2 linked regions of the Styela clava genome follow. The protein of the gene in region 1 purifies or fractionates together with the protein of each later gene. This does not show direct contact. Links are inferred from orthologs where the notes say so. Each region holds a gene or a part of one and is shown in the gene's direction. Other genes may lie near its edges. The genes, in order: proteasome subunit alpha type-4-like and proteasome maturation protein-like.

Region 1 (7,726 bases):
AAAATAATACCGAACTAAAACAAAAACACTCAAGAACGGGTTCACTGATTATCACGACATTCCAAGAACGGGTTCGCGCAAACACCCTGAATCACACCACTGTATATATTTGGTATATATGTGTAAGTTAACACTTCAAGTTTGCAATGGCCGAAATTATGTCGCAGTAAAGCTCGATTCCTTCCAAAAACACACTCTCGTTCAAAAACTCGTTGTTATCATGAAGAAGAATAGGTGTATTTCGCATTGGACTGAATCCAATAACTTGATAACCTCGTTCACGAAGAAATCGCCCATCAGTACCGGCACAGAAAATTTCTTTTGTATAGTGCAGGTTTCTTTTATGAAAAGCGAATGTAAAAGCCCGCCACCATGGATTTGTTTGATCCGCAGTTGTAATTGCTTGACACGTATCTTTACATTCAAACTCAAATGTGACGTCATTTCCGGCGTCTTTGCACCAAGAGGATATTCTGCTTTCGAACGCTTCCAAGTCAATCGTTGGCGGGAACCTGATATCAAAAGTGGCTACAAATTCTTCAGGTACTACATTCGGTTGCACTCCACCTTTGATCATGGTCAAGTTAACTGTAGTAACATCTCCTAATGTTAGACCAGAATTGTTGCATAGTCGCTTTTCTTCTGATGTTCTGAATTCCTGAAATTTATCGATAACATTTTGCTATTTTCCAGCAGCAGTGCCTTGTATAAATCGCGATCCATGACCTGGATTTCCTTTGCACTTGATGTGCACCACCCACATCAATCTTTCACCATAGAAAACAGAATAATTATTATCCGAATTAGCAATCCCTTCGTCCAAAGCCAGGCCTACGTTCATGGCACTGAAAACAGGTGTGTCTAAAAAAAGCTTCATCCCCTTGTCGCCATTATTGATTTCCTCATCAGGAACAAATGTGAGATGAATCGTACGTTCAAATGTGTTTCTTTTTTAGTTTTCGTCAATATCTTCAATGCTTCCAGGTACTGTATGCCGACGCATTTCATATCCTGGGAGCCTCTACCATATATATTTCCTTTTTCGTCCTTATGAGCTTCCCATGGATCAAATTTCCAGTCGTCTTCAAACACCGGAACAACATCTATATGAGAATTAAGTAAAATCGACGGCAAGTTGGGATTTCGACCTGGTATTGTCATAACCACAACCTCTCGGTCCTTGTCAATCTTCACATGCTTTGCGTCAATGCCAAGTTCTTTCGCGTAATCATCCAAGAACGAAACTGCGGATGCATAATCCGGATTCGGATGCACTGTTTTGATCTGTAAGTATTCACGAAACTTACGAACTGCTAACTTTTCATTCATATTATTCTGTACAAAAGTTGAACAGTTATATGCATACGATAGGCCAACATTACTAGCGTGCTGGTGATCACGCTAATGGCACTACTAAGTGCAAATTCGTATGCTTAAGGTTGTAAGGCAAATGTACGTAAAGTTATATCTACCATAGCTGGCATGAATAACAATACCACTTCTATATTCGACACCAATCTGATCTAGCGACTGGCGAAATTCTATAAACCCATGCGGTTTTAGAGGTAGGCTATATTATATTTGGATAAGGCACAGAGTCTTTCAAGGCAAACTATAACTACTTATGGACGCACAGTGTTTGCAGCTACGCTCAAGTAAACTCAAATATTGCTAAATAAACAAATGTTTCATCCCTCGGAATCACATTTGTTCATTTACTTATGGTATAGCCAGTAGTGGGATTCAAATTTTTGGTCAGCCGGTTTCATCACAAAAGTCATATTTTTTCAGCCGGTTCTGTTACAAAAGTCATTGACAATAACTAGTAATGCTAACCGGTTCTCTGATCTCAAAAAATTCCGTGAATCCTCAATGAGCAATATCGTTTTAGAAACGTTATGCAGTGGTTTAGTTCAGTCTTCACAAACTAGGGGCCGCGGCCCCGCAAAGGGCCGCGAAGCGACTTTTATTTTGAACAAAAAATTCACGATTCCCAGTGAATACATCATCCTATACCGTTGTTCATTATAATTGAGGCCTGCATTAACAAACAGCGAGCTACGACTGGACTTGCTGTGCGGCAAAAATCATTCGCATCCATCACACTGATTGATGAGTGAAGTTCATCTGAACAAATTCGTGTTTGTTTTTGTTACCGAATAGGCCCACTAAAAGATGAAAATTTACCGTATCATAAAAATATCTAAAATGTATATTTCGAACTGTTTAGCATTATTAACCCTTTCCGTGCGGTGGGCACGTATACGTACCCACGACAAAACTCGCTAGATTGCGGCGGGTACGTTGATGTACTCCACTGTTTTATTTAGCAATCGGTCGCAAACTGTTGGTCTAGTTTTTCCGGGTTTTAGTTTATTGATAAGAAGTCTTCTTCGAGATTAACATAAGCGACGGTAAATCTCGCTTTCGTTTACCATGGGAATTTTATTTGCGGCGGAACGAGGGAGTGTTTTTGAAATTTATGCAAATTTCGGTGTTTTTTGGGTGGTAATAGAAGACATATTATCCCTTCCATCTACCAAAGTATTTTGAGTTAGATAACGAAATTGCTACAGCAATATTATGCTATTGTTTGCCAACCAAGAAGCGGTAACAGTAAAGGATTTAGCAAATATTTCTATTTTTTATCACGGTTTGAAGTTTCAACACCCAAGAAGAAAAAATGCCCTTTTTCTATCCGGTTTGTGACTCAGACCACCCCTTTAAAAAAAAATTTTTTTTTTAATCGCCAGTTGCAAGCTCTTTAAATAAGCTTTCCAACGAGCCGTCAGTGGGCAGCAGAGGATCATTACTTTTTCGTTAGTCGATCGATTAGTTGTGGGGGTACAAATGCATAAAATCGGGGTAGCAAATACGATTATTTAATAAAAAATAAAAATCGCATGGAAAGGGTTAACGTGAACAGAGGCCGCGAAAAATTTTACAATATTGAAAGGGCCGCGAGCTCAAAAGTTTGGGAAGCCCTGGTTTAGTTCGTGAAGGTCACTAAGCCTTTTAGTGTCGTGGTCGAATTGATGAAACTATTAAAATACCTGGAAACACGTGACTTGGACACGGCAATAGTAGCCCAGATTCGTGGGACACGTCCGGGATAACCTGACTTCGATAAAATTTTGTAGTGTTTGGTTTTATTGCTTCTTCACACATATTTCGGTTACAATAAACGCACCTTGAGTCCGCTAAGATTTTCGCTAGTGAGAAATAGCCCGCGACCAAAAAAGGTTAGGAAACGCTGTGCTAAGACATCATGAAGCTTCCTACGAGAATATATACAAGCAGCTATCTCGATTAAATGATTATATATCTAGGAACGTCAAAGCCTAAGTTTGAAATGGGCGCCATATAATTTTACACTGAGCGATAGTTTAGGATTCTGATTAATGATCAAAATATATTCAATTTAATATTACACCCTATCCGACTACTGGATTAATCAGCATGAGTATTTTGATTCCAAAAAAATGACAATCGTAAATCCAAAACCACGCTGAAAATAAAACAAGAGGCCAGACAGCAACACAAGATCTCAATTATATGAAGGAACAGGATTATTTTTTCCATTCTTTCCTTCCTTATCGACAACCGATTTCCTATGCCGCAATGGTTTCACCGCGAACTCCCGATCAATTAGACTACTTGCACAAATAAGACTCAATTGCAGCAAGTATACATTGCTGCTGAAATTATGTCATAGAGATAGTTTACATCAATCATATACCACCACAAAATAATATATATCACATTAAAAAAGCTCAATGAAACTAATCGACATGATGGCAGAAGTCTCCGCCAAACAAGTGCTAAATTTAACTGTTCAACCAATATTACCATATAGTATTCGTATTTATTTACGATTCAATCACTTTGCCGAAGGCCTTCAGAATTAAAAGTACTGTTTCAAAACAAATCTGGCCCGGCGAACGAAACTGCATAATTAGGTGGCAATTTGAATTGGAAACCTTTTGGTATCTCCCGAAAAAATTCACTCGGAGTCTATTACCTATGCTATTCGCATACTCGACATGGACTTTTAACAAGGCCAACGGTAGAATAAGTCATTTTAATCGCTTTTTCTCTCCCTGAAGATATCGGTAGATACAAAAATAGAATCGTACTATCATCAATCGAGGTGTAAAAGCACGAACTGAAAAAAAAGCACATACCACAACAGCGCACCCAACGATTTTGCTTAGTAATGTGTTGGTTGACTGGTTATTAATTTGCGGAGTCATCTAATAATCCGAAGCGTTTGTTGCTGCTTCCAGAGCATAGGGTACCTGTAGTATATCATTATAGTGTTATTCTTCGGCGTTTTTTAATTATTTTTTCTTTCAATTCTGATTTAAAAGCAATTTGCGACGTTGCGGGAAATATTTTGAATTATATGAAATAATTTTAAGACAGAACTGGGCATTTAATAGATTGAAAAATGTCTCGTAGATACGATTCACGAACGACGATATTTTCTCCAGAGGGACGGCTTTACCAGGTTGAATACGCAATGGAAGCGATTGGTCATGCTGGTGAGTATGTTAAATCAGTAAAAGAACCATTCAATGATAAATTAAAAGCTTACCAACATCAGTTATAACCATTAGTACAAACCCCTCCTTCACGAGACAATCTTAAGTTCACGGTAGACATAGATAGATTCAATTCATCCGAAGAAAATAAATATACTGTAGCATTCAAGAGTTTTTGTCAAGTCGGCAGTAACGAATTTTGGTCACATCTTGGCTTACACAGGTCATGATTAATTTGTATCATACCGTGGTTCGTACAGTTTTATGGATCTGTCGTCAGGCCATTGTTTTCTGTCACAAATACTGTATCTGAATATTGAGACATTCTCGAAATTGGATACCGGTAACTGTGCCCTACTGATAAGCCAAATAAGTGTTTGGACTTAACTGCCTAGTCAACCTACTGGATCAAGTATAGTTTAGTACCACATGCACTTTTAGTGGGCCTAACATAACAAATTTTGTCACGTCATAGAGCTTGCCAAAGTATAGCTTCACATACGCTCATATGCATGTGGTACTAAACTATACCAGACCCAACCTACTGACATACAATTTGCTCATTTTATTTCAGGTACTTGTCTCGGGATTCTTGCAAATGATGGAATTCTCCTCGCAGCAGAGAAGCGAAATATTCACAAATTATTAGATGAAGTCTTTGAATCTGATAAAATCTATAAACTGGATGAAAACATTGCATGTAGCGTTGCAGGAATAACCTCAGATGCAAATGTTCTAATAAATGAACTGAGAGTTATAGCTCAAAGGTATATTCAATAGTAAGGTGCATTTCTAGCAATCAATACAACTTGAACTTTTGTTTTTTAAAAATAGACGAATTGTAGGAGCACCGTTGTTTTAACTACTTGCGCTGGGCTAATTGTCATCATTACTGTGAAGTGGAATTTTTTATGTGGTGATTTTTCCGATTAGCTCAATGAGTCAATCGTCAAATGATATAAAACAGGGCCATACATAGTGGGTTCTCAAAGTGCTCCATACGGAGCCCCAGGGCTAATTTATTAATTACAGAGCAGCAAATACATTCGAGTCATTAAATAAAGTAATCTCAGTTTACTCAGTGACATTAATTCGTAACCAACAATGTTTTTATTCTTGTAAATTTATTATGAGGCTAAGTATATAATGGTCAATCTTTTCACGGACTTCATAACACCAAAAGTTTGAGAACCCCTGCCATACATATTATGTCAGAAACCTAATTTTCTTAACATACAGGACCCATTGCCCAACTTGAATTTGACCCTCTTAAAGGATCTTGACAGCTCAATATTTATATAGAATTTGTGTTATTATTGTACATAGTTAGCTCACTAAACTAAATAGTATCTCTTTAACTTTAGATATATGATTCAATACCAGGAGCCCATTCCAATAGAGCAGCTTGTTGTCAGTTTATGTGATATAAAACAAGCATATACACAGTTTGGAGGTCTTCGACCATTCGGAATATCTGTTTTATACATGGGATGGGACAAGCATCATGGATTTCAACTTTACCAATCAGATCCGAGTGGGAATTTTGGAGGATGGAAGGCTACATGTATTGGACATAATAGCCAGGTTTGTTTCAGATAACATGTTTTGCTTTCAATTGTGACACTAGGTTAAAACACACTTAACAAGAGAAAAGGAAGAACATTTGAATATATGATCTTGTGATATCACAAATAATTTCAACAAATTTCGGATATAAGTATGTCCTGCATGGCTGAAGATTTTCTAAATTAAATATCTATCCACTATTTGTTATTTTTTGTTAGTATGGATGCTTATTGAAATTAATGACAGTGATCTTTCTCTTCTGGCACACATGGTCGTATAAATAATGTAGTTGTTTTAGATATTTGGTTTTCTGAATACAGTTTGGGAAGTTAAGAAGAACCACCGTCTTGAACATGCATTAAAATAAACCGTAATCAAATATGTGTTATTTTCATCATTATATTCATCATATATTCATCTGAGGATAGGACAATATGAATATTCTAACACAAAGTTTTTTTATACTGAATAAATTAAGTTATTCAACATATTTTTCAAGGCTGCTGTATCCATGTTGAAGCAAGAATACAAGGAAAATGATACGACAATCACAGGTGCATTGAAACTTGCTGTGAAAGTTCTCAGCAAAACACTTGACACGAATAAATTAACATCTGAAAAGGTGATATTGGATTTATTTTATTATAACACAAGTATTCAAATACCAAAACTTAATTTCATATATTTTACTCTAGGTATTTGATTATATTGAAACGATATTCGACATATGTAAAATGTCAATATAGACTCTTGGATTTGAAACCAGCGACTGTATTAGCAGAACAGGGTTGGAAACCACTTCCTTAAGAGCATGTTTTACCATGACTAATGCTTGTAGCAACCAATTGGTGTATGACCTTCTAAATTGTTACGTGTGATTTGGTGTGAAAAAGGTATTTGTTTGTTAGTCCAACGGGTCATCAACAAAAGCCATCATCCATGTTAATTTTGGATAGGAAATCTATTAAAAATCTCGAAATTTACAAAAATTCTTAAACTTGTATAACGTCCCACAACAGGCATCAGCATGACCGTATACAGTTTGCTTACAGAAATTGACTGACAACTGTTCTATTCTTTACAGGTTGAGATGGCTACATTAACCAGAGTAGACGGCAAGACTGTCATAAAAATTCTGCCGAATTCTGTCATTGACAAAGAATGTAAAGTATATGAGGAAGAAAAAGCGAAGGAAGAAGCTGAAAAAAGGGAAAAAGAGAAAAGATTAACTCCTAAAAAGACTCCAAAGAAGTGATTCTGAACATTGACTGAATAGATAATTAATATTTTGATACTTTTTTCGAGTTCCAATCTGAAGGCTGCTTTCATATGCCAAGATTCAGGCAATACATGTCGCACAAGCATGCCGCAATATGATTCGGATATGTGAATAAAAGCTAGTAATATTGTTCATATAAGTGTTGCAAATTTGGAAGGATGTTTCTGAATTCTAAAAGGTTTTGTAGTTAAAGAATAGAAATAACTAGTTCATAATTTTACACTCCATATGTATAGTCTACATCTCTAAGCTTCAGAATACAAAATTTACCACCCCACTCGAAGAGCTAATGTAGGTACATAGACTACGGCAGTGGCGGCGCGTGGTCATTTTGACA
Region 2 (8,228 bases), on another chromosome or scaffold:
ATTAAACAAGAAAACAAATACGTATCGAATTGCTGATGCTAACAGTAAGCGGCTCAATAGTTAAATGAATAAAGTTGAAAGAATTAACACACTACATCTACAGCACAGCAATGATTGGTGTCTGATTTAAAACGCCACAGCAATCATCGCTTGACTGCAGCTGTATAAACAAATAGATACATTGAGTTGCATTTCCAAGTTATCACATTGCGCTCTTCAAAGCAATTGGGAAGATCATGCCTCGAAGCTTGGTTTTGGCACCAGAAAGCACCTTTTCCACCTAGACCCTTTATTCCCCATTTTAGCAACCCCCCAGCTAGGTCCTCAATCATCTTTTTGTCGCCTTTGGTTATTGACGTTTGCATGAATGGTTCAGTTACTTGGGTTACTTGAAACGCTTCTTTTATAATTTTCGGTGCTGCAGTTTTGATTATGCGTTTTAGGTCCAAATGAGAGATTTCAAAATTGTTCGAATGTGGCTTTTGCAATTTTTCAATGTATTTAGCTGTCACTTTACTTCTGGATTCTTCCCTAGAAATTTCCATCATATCCGCTATAACATCTGCCCATAGTGGTGATTCCTGATTTAATGTGATGTTCAAATCATTCAATGCAGTCTGCAGTGTCTTCTTGCAATCAACACTTCCGTAGTCGATTTCTACTACAGATATGCCCCATTTTCCTTCTATCTCGTCATCAAGCTGTGAAATATATAAAATCGGGTCTAAAACAGTGCCGGAGTGCTTGAATAAAGAAAAACAAATGTGATGTAAAAATACTGACCAAAATTTTAAGCAAAACAAAAACGGCCTCCACTTTCATATATTAAACTACGGTACTATTATAGGGCAACAAAGATTCGACCCTATCTGCGTGTCCACACACCCGTGTTATTGAACACACGTTAACAGAGTGTAACTCCGATCTTGACTCCTTCAGAGGCCAAAAAGCACACAATGTATTGAATGCCAATTGTTATATTGTAAAGTTGCACAATCGAATTGATTCAAATAACGAATTACACTTGAAACCCCTAAAGCAAGTATATGTGATGAAACCAAATTTCTAACTAACAAAGAACGGCAAAGACAAGCTACACTGAGTGAGAGAAATATATCATAAAGGAAATGAATTGGGACAACGACCTTGTTTCAGGCAAATAACATGCACTACTAACAATAAGTGGTGAAAATATTAAAATACACAGTAACTATCCTTATGTACTTGCTACACAATTCCCCCCGACAATGAAAAAAATTAGTTTGCTAATTTTTAAATTTTGTAAGACTAGCTAATAACGATTTCTGATTGAATAATATGTCGTAAAATTTGCCATGTATTGGTGTATTTAATTCTGCATCAAAGTCGCTGATGACCAACTAATGCAACGACACAGGAAAACCAATTTGATTGAGATACCTCCGGTTGAAGGATCTTTTGCGGTGAAATCTACAGATTTTCACGAAATCTTCGATAACACCCAGAACTAAGCCATTGCGTTTGGACAATCGACTTCTTTCTGCTTTGTAAAATAATGAGCGTAATAGTTGATTTGAAGAATAATGTTGACGTTAAGATTTCGTTCGTTGAAAACATTCCTCTAAGCTTTGAAAACCTGTCCAACTCTCGGATTTTTCAATCTGGGAAGATTGTCCGATGAATTGAAATGTAACAAGAGTGTGGTAGCGTTGAATTTCGGAGAGTCGCGGGCCCTGCAAACTTTCGTATCATCAACGTTCCAGACAAATGTAAACGCACCTTTCCGGCAAAACCCGGAATTGGGTGAGCATTGGCTTAAATCAGCTAGGGGAGAGTGAAGTTTTCGTGTTATGTGATTGAAATAGAGAGGACCCTTCCACGCGGGTCACGAGTATTTGGGTTCGACTTGGTTTCCAATGATGCTGAAATAGATGATGATCGACTTGAGAGAATAAAGTAGATGTTCGTTCGTACGTTCGTCAAACAGTAGGTCGCTAAATGCTGCTTCTTGGTGTAAAAAAAATCGGCTTGCGTAGATAATATCAATGTTTTTTTTTTTTACGTAGCTTGCTTTGTCGATAAACACATTTGAAAATCCAGTAATAATATGAAGCTGTCCTGGTAACTTTAAATTGTAATGAGGCGGATTGAGCTGCTGAAGTCCATATCTCCTGATCCGGTTGACACACAAAATATATAGTTATAATATATAGGTTGATAATGAGACACAAATTCAAAGAATTTGGGCGTTGATGCTTGGAAAATGAAAATACACGAGCGTGAACTCGGGCGTTAAACTTGAAGAGTTGAAGTTGAGTTAGTACTGTCTGATCGTAGGAGGTCCTGGTCCAGATTCCTCGTTTTGAGTCAAAAATCTACCTTGTTCTGGCCTTCTTGACTGCTTAATAAATTGACATACCGCCAAAGACTGCAATTTGGTTGGTTGCTTGATTCCTGAAATGCCGACGTATTGTCCATTGACTCGATTGGTGATGAATTTCTTTTCCATTTTGATTGACGAAATTCCAGTTGCTGAATTGAAGTTGATTGCTTATTGATCACGAACGGGTATCACCAAAATATAGGGCAACAAAGATTCGACCCTATCTGCGTGTCCACACACCCGTGTTATTGAACACACGTTAACAGAGTGTAACTCCGATCTTGACTCCTTCAGAGGCCAAAAAGCACACAATGTATTGAATGCCAATTGTTATATTGTAAAGTTGCACAATCGAATTGATTCAAATAACGAATTACACTTGAAACCCCTAAAGCAAGTATATGTGATGAAACCAAATTTCTAACTAACAAAGAACGGCAAAGACAAGCTACACTGAGTGAGAGAAATATATCATAAAGGAAATAAATTGGGACAACGACCTTGTTTCAGGCAAATAACATGCACTACTAACAATAAGTGGTGAAAATATTAAAATACACAGTAACTATCCTTATGTACTTGCTACACTATAAACTCTTACTATTGATTCTTTCAGGATCAAAACCTATTTTAATAAGCAATCAGTACTATGTAACTCACGTCATCAAAAAATTCAAGCATTTTTTCCTCAGATAAATCCATTTTCATTCGAACTTTGAATACCGTTAACAGCGAGCAGCCTAAAATATACTGCAGACGACGCCGTGGTTATGAATTACCCACGCCAACACTAGATGACGCTGTGAACAACAGATCAGTATACGGCCTTCCAGGTATGTTAGTCGTTGGACCTTCCAGACTAGTTATATAATGGCTCTGTTTCAAATTTGATATTGACAGTCAAAACAATGATTTCAATTTAACATATTTCATCACACCTTAACCCTAAAACTCGCGAGTAATGACTTAGTTAGCCTTGATATCCCCTTGTTGGGGTAGGAGCGCGTTGAAAAAAAAAGTTAGCCGTCTGTGGGCGTTGAGAAAAAAAGAGAGCGCTTTGCTTATGTGTTTGGTCAATATATTCGTATTAGAGTCCAAGGGTTCCCAAACTTTATTGGCCGCGGGCCAAAATTAGAATCGAAAGGATGTTCGCGGGCCGGAAGAGTGTAGTGCCCGAAAGTGTGCAATGGTTTGGCTGGGGTTCTGTGGATTCACGTTTGACATTTTTTTAAACATGTTTGTTTGATTCATAATGGCGCTTTATGTCGTATTGATTTATAACTTGAATAGTTCGTTGGCTAAGTGGACAAATCGCTGAAGTGTGATTCTTTTCAATACAGAAATACGAACAATGCCATTTATCGGAGTAACATCTGTTTTCAGAGTCTTGTATATTATTTGACATCTCTAACCTTTCTTAAACGGCTGATAACTAAATTACTGCCCTATGTAATCCTAATACGGTACGTATAATTGAGATACCGGCATAATCGAATTGTTACCATGAACACGAGCTCAAACTGTGATAATGACATAACAATTGGCGGTTTCTAGATTGTAAACTTTAACAAAATCTATTTCATTGTTTCACTTAAGCTCGGCGGGCCATTTTAAATCGTTACGCGGGCCGGAGTTGGCCCGCGGTTTGGAAACCCCTGTATTAGACGAATATATTGGTGAGCTTAAAGTGTGATTCCGTTTTAAAAAGTTGTCAGTGATTTAGAAACATACCATATTCTATTGAAAATGGGGTTGTTTTTGACCGTTAATTTCCATTCTTATGAAAATCTTTTGCAATTAAACATTTACTTTTGTTGGGCAATCATTTGGCCTAACGATTTTATGCCACTTAAATAAACATCCGAATTACCCTACCTTCAAGGAATTCATAAAAATTGGAAGCCGAATTTTAAAACGACAGAGAGAAATAGAAGAATTTTACCTTAAGAATAGGAGAAGGATGAAGCGAGTCCCAACAAGATGAAAAATCTGTAACTTATAAAATTAATCAAAATTATGAACATAAAATAACATAACACTTTATTCTACATTGTTCATTCGTTCCATCTCTTGCCGCGTTAAATATATACTTTGTTTGAGCGCGCGTTTAATATATACTCGTATACCGTAATTCTTTTCAAAGTCCCTTCGTCTGTTGTTGATTCATTATGTCATCATTTTGATTAGTTTTTCGTGGATTTTTCACCTCATAATATTTTTAAAAGTTCGATTCGTATGTTCGTGAGCCATCATCAGTATTCGTCTTGTCGTTCCATGGTCGTTTAGCAATGTCCAACTGTTATTTGTCTTTAATGCATTGTCATCTCGTTATTTGTCGATTCTTTCTCGTCTGCAACTTGGAAAAAAATTGGCGATTAATGTTAGCTAATGGCCCCTGCGTTTAAGTTAGGAAGAATCGTGAATTGTACTTAACTTTGTTCCTCCGTAGATGTTGCAAGATCTCCGTTTGCGCAATCTGACTCCAGGCCACAAGAAGGCATGCTTATTTGGCCTCTGTTCAGTTGGGGTTAACTCCGACAACCCACGTGTAAATCCTTTTGGCAATTTGTTTAATTACTTAATATCAATGTTGACATATTATCTAGTTCGTTCACATGCGATAATCACCGAAAATTCCCTCAAAATAAATTTTGGTCAATTAAATGAAAGAATTCTTCACGGGTCAAGGGTCGAAAAAAATAATCATAGCTTAATATTGCTTAGTCATTTTCACAAATCGATTTCCAGTTACTGCGGCGTCATCATTTAATCGGTTTGCCTACTATTATTTGGAACTTCAGAGTGACAATTCCAGACTTTTGTTTCACTTTGGCAATTTGTAGAGGAAGGGTCGTGATGGTAAGTTTTGTTATTTTGTGCCACTCGTTCGTTTCCTCTTATTTAGTCATATTTCTGTAGTTGTTAATATTCCAGTACGTCCCCGGTACAGTCTGACAGTGCCGGGTATTTCTATTATTTTTGTTATTGCTGAGTATTTTCGTGTAGCAAGATAGCCCTGTGTCTGCCAGTTCATGGTTATCCATGTGGATTTCAGAATGTTAACAAGTTCAGAGATTGATATTCATAGTCTAATGTTACGGTAGGCTATATTCTGATATTCGTGATTTCCTTTTGCTGGCAGTACCGTATTCAGGTATTGCTGTACCGGTTTCGTACCCTGCGGTATTGTCCATTTTGCATATGACTGCATGGGCTTAGTGTTAGTTCTGTAGTTAGCCCATTAGCCTAGGCCTACAGGCCTACTTGTTTCAGATGTATAGGTTTCATGTTTCAGCTTCACAGTCTTCTGGCAGTCTGGTCTTGAGTGCAGAGGAAGGCTACAGATACTGAGATAGTCTAATAGGATAGGATTTACATATTTATCCCGGGGGAGCGGAAAGCCGATAAGACGGCTTATCCATATGGCGAACCATGGCCTCTCGTCCGGTTACCATTCCAAGTCGGGTATGGGATTAGTTATATTGTTTGTTTACGAAAGCATGGACTTGGTGGAGGAGGAAGCCGTTACCGACCAGCGGTTTCGTGAACCACCCAACGACAGCGAGTAGTCCAGCAATCCTCTCGCACATAATCATCCCTGCATGGGATTCGAACCCACGCAGAGTAATTAGAGGTGCGATGGCGAGCGTATTCCTAGCGCTTAGCCACACCGCCGCGCTGATAATAATAAATCTAATAATTTGTCTTCGAACAGCTGATGTCATTTAGATGGAGATTTAAAGTCGCACTTTATAGAATTAAAGCTTTGTTAAACTTTAGTGATGTTTGTCAGGTCTTTTCTGTATGGCCTGCAAAGGATGATTTTTATATGTACCGGTATAACATTAACATCTTTTCATCCCACAGACTTTTCTGATGATTTTTTCATGGATTGCTATTTGTCACAGACGTTACCTGCCAGCACTGGTACAATCCTAAACCTAACAAACCCAAATGTTCCATAAATTCAGATACAGATAGCCTATATTTTTACTGGCAAAATGACTGGAAATCCAAATCATATCTTGATTCATCCGTGGTCTGGAAAGTCTGTATTGGCTACCTTCCATTCCTCTTTCTCACTCCATACAGTAGTAGAAAAAGATATCAACAAAATTTATTATATACATAAACAGGAATCACAGGGATTATTACATTGCAATATGAAAGAAACATTATCTATACCACGTGAAGAAAATGATGATTTTGTTATTAATTCCACTTTGAGAACTGGATTCAAAGATGTACAGAAAGGGGTTGGATCAACTCATCCTATTGAATCCTCACTGAAAGATTACAGTGCTAATATGCTCAATATTAGAATGGACATGCTACGACGAACACAGGTATAATACATGATTTTGTTTTGTTTGATCAATTAATTTATCCAAATATTTGTTAAAATGCAAATAATATGCCTATGTTATCCTAGTTTGTTACTGCAATTGTCAAAATATTGAATATTTTTTAAGGGTTTGTATGCTCCAATACAACTTCAAATGGAAATAAACACAACAGCAAAAGGTGCACAAAGATTGCCTTGTTTACCATCTTCTCAGCTTTCCAAAGAAATCGTTTTGGGAGACGACATTATGTTATCACATCTTGATGTTTTTAATGGTAGGTTGTTGTTAGAGAGATATCAACTCAATGAAAGGCAATATATCGATAATAACAAGCCAATTAAGTAATGTTTCAAGGTTATTCTTTCATATTTTATTTTATTTCCCACTTTACTAATTGTACTTGATTTGTTTTAAAAGCTCATGTGTAACACCTGATGTACTTTAGTGCGAAAATATGACATAGAAACTTGGCCATTAAATAGAGTAAGATTTATAAGGAAATTTATGACAGTAGTCAGTAAGCCAATGTGAGATGTTCGAAAGAGTTACAGTAAAGCTAATGTGCGATAGGCTTGAAAAATACAGTGTTTTCGAAAACAAAAATTAATTGAATATATATATTGTAAATTGAAACTTGTTAGGACAACAAAATTCTTACTCATGTTTTGGAGCCCTTAATATTGACTATATTATATTGTAGGCCTATCCCTATGGTAAATCATCTCTAGTTTCCTTTGAGAATATTCACATAACTTCACACAAAAATAGATGGTCCAAGGTTGTCAGCATCTGGAGCCACAATATGATTATTGTATTCGTGCCAAGGATAGATAAACAGCACAAAAACTTTAATGTAAAAAAAAATATTTAATCATTGATCAATCCTTATATATCCACATTTAGGTAAGTCTTGATAAAATCTTAGGTAAGTTTTATTAAAGTTAAATGGGTTGCCATAAGCTGTGGTAATAAATAGTGGGTCCCAACTCTTAAAAAGTTTGGGAACCACTGACCTAAAGTATAGTTTATTTATAGATCCAAAAATGTTAAGTCTCTATTTGTTGTTCTTCTTTTTCAGATCCATTTCAGTCGGAAATAATGGGAGATCCGCATATTATGACGGAACACAGAGCAGGATTGAAACTATTATGATTACAACCTTATGAAACATTGATTTAATTTGGTAGATACTCTTGACTGACTGGAAATATCCCCAAAAGGGCTTTTTGATTGACCTGGTTACAATGAATGCAATGGTTGAAATGTTAACTTTCTCTGTTGTCATATACGTTTCTATTAAAAACAGATTCAAATCTGAATCAGCCTACACAGAACCCTATTTATATACATTGTTATAGATACATTGTTATAGAGATGGTTGAAATCCCCTTGTTTCTGATCAGAACGGCCAGAGTATCATAATTGTTCGGTTTGTTCGTATCCGGATTTTCGCAATGGATTACACAAACTGTTTCCTGATTATTTTATGCTTAGCAAAAACATATTGAATCGCGTCTTTC

The links.
Region 2: the proteins of proteasome subunit alpha type-4-like (region 1) and proteasome maturation protein-like fractionate together in Homo sapiens (co-fractionation; 4 studies listed by BioGRID and IntAct, with this or other methods). This does not show direct contact. The link is inferred for Styela clava from reciprocal best matches to the Homo sapiens genes PSMA4 and POMP.

What each region holds. Positions count from the first base shown.
Region 1 is NC_135264.1:10,773,365-10,781,090, reverse strand, and holds proteasome subunit alpha type-4-like, read left to right. Parts: upstream 1-4,288; 5' UTR 4,289-4,450; coding exon 4,451-4,544; intron 4,545-5,118; coding exon 5,119-5,311; intron 5,312-5,908; coding exon 5,909-6,128; intron 6,129-6,609; coding exon 6,610-6,732; intron 6,733-7,194; coding exon 7,195-7,365; 3' UTR 7,366-7,528; downstream 7,529-7,726. UniProt on the Homo sapiens protein: Component of the 20S core proteasome complex involved in the proteolytic degradation of most intracellular proteins. This complex plays numerous essential roles within the cell by associating with different regulatory particles.
Region 2 is NC_135262.1:19,620,515-19,628,742, reverse strand, and holds proteasome maturation protein-like, read left to right. Parts: upstream 1-5,091; 5' UTR 5,092-5,218; coding exon 5,219-5,221; intron 5,222-6,498; coding exon 6,499-6,708; intron 6,709-6,834; coding exon 6,835-6,982; intron 6,983-7,786; coding exon 7,787-7,860; 3' UTR 7,861-8,042; downstream 8,043-8,228. Other genes in the region: uncharacterized protein LOC120332779, read right to left, coding at 144-701, 3,023-3,070. UniProt on the Homo sapiens protein: Molecular chaperone essential for the assembly of standard proteasomes and immunoproteasomes. Degraded after completion of proteasome maturation. Mediates the association of 20S preproteasome with the endoplasmic reticulum.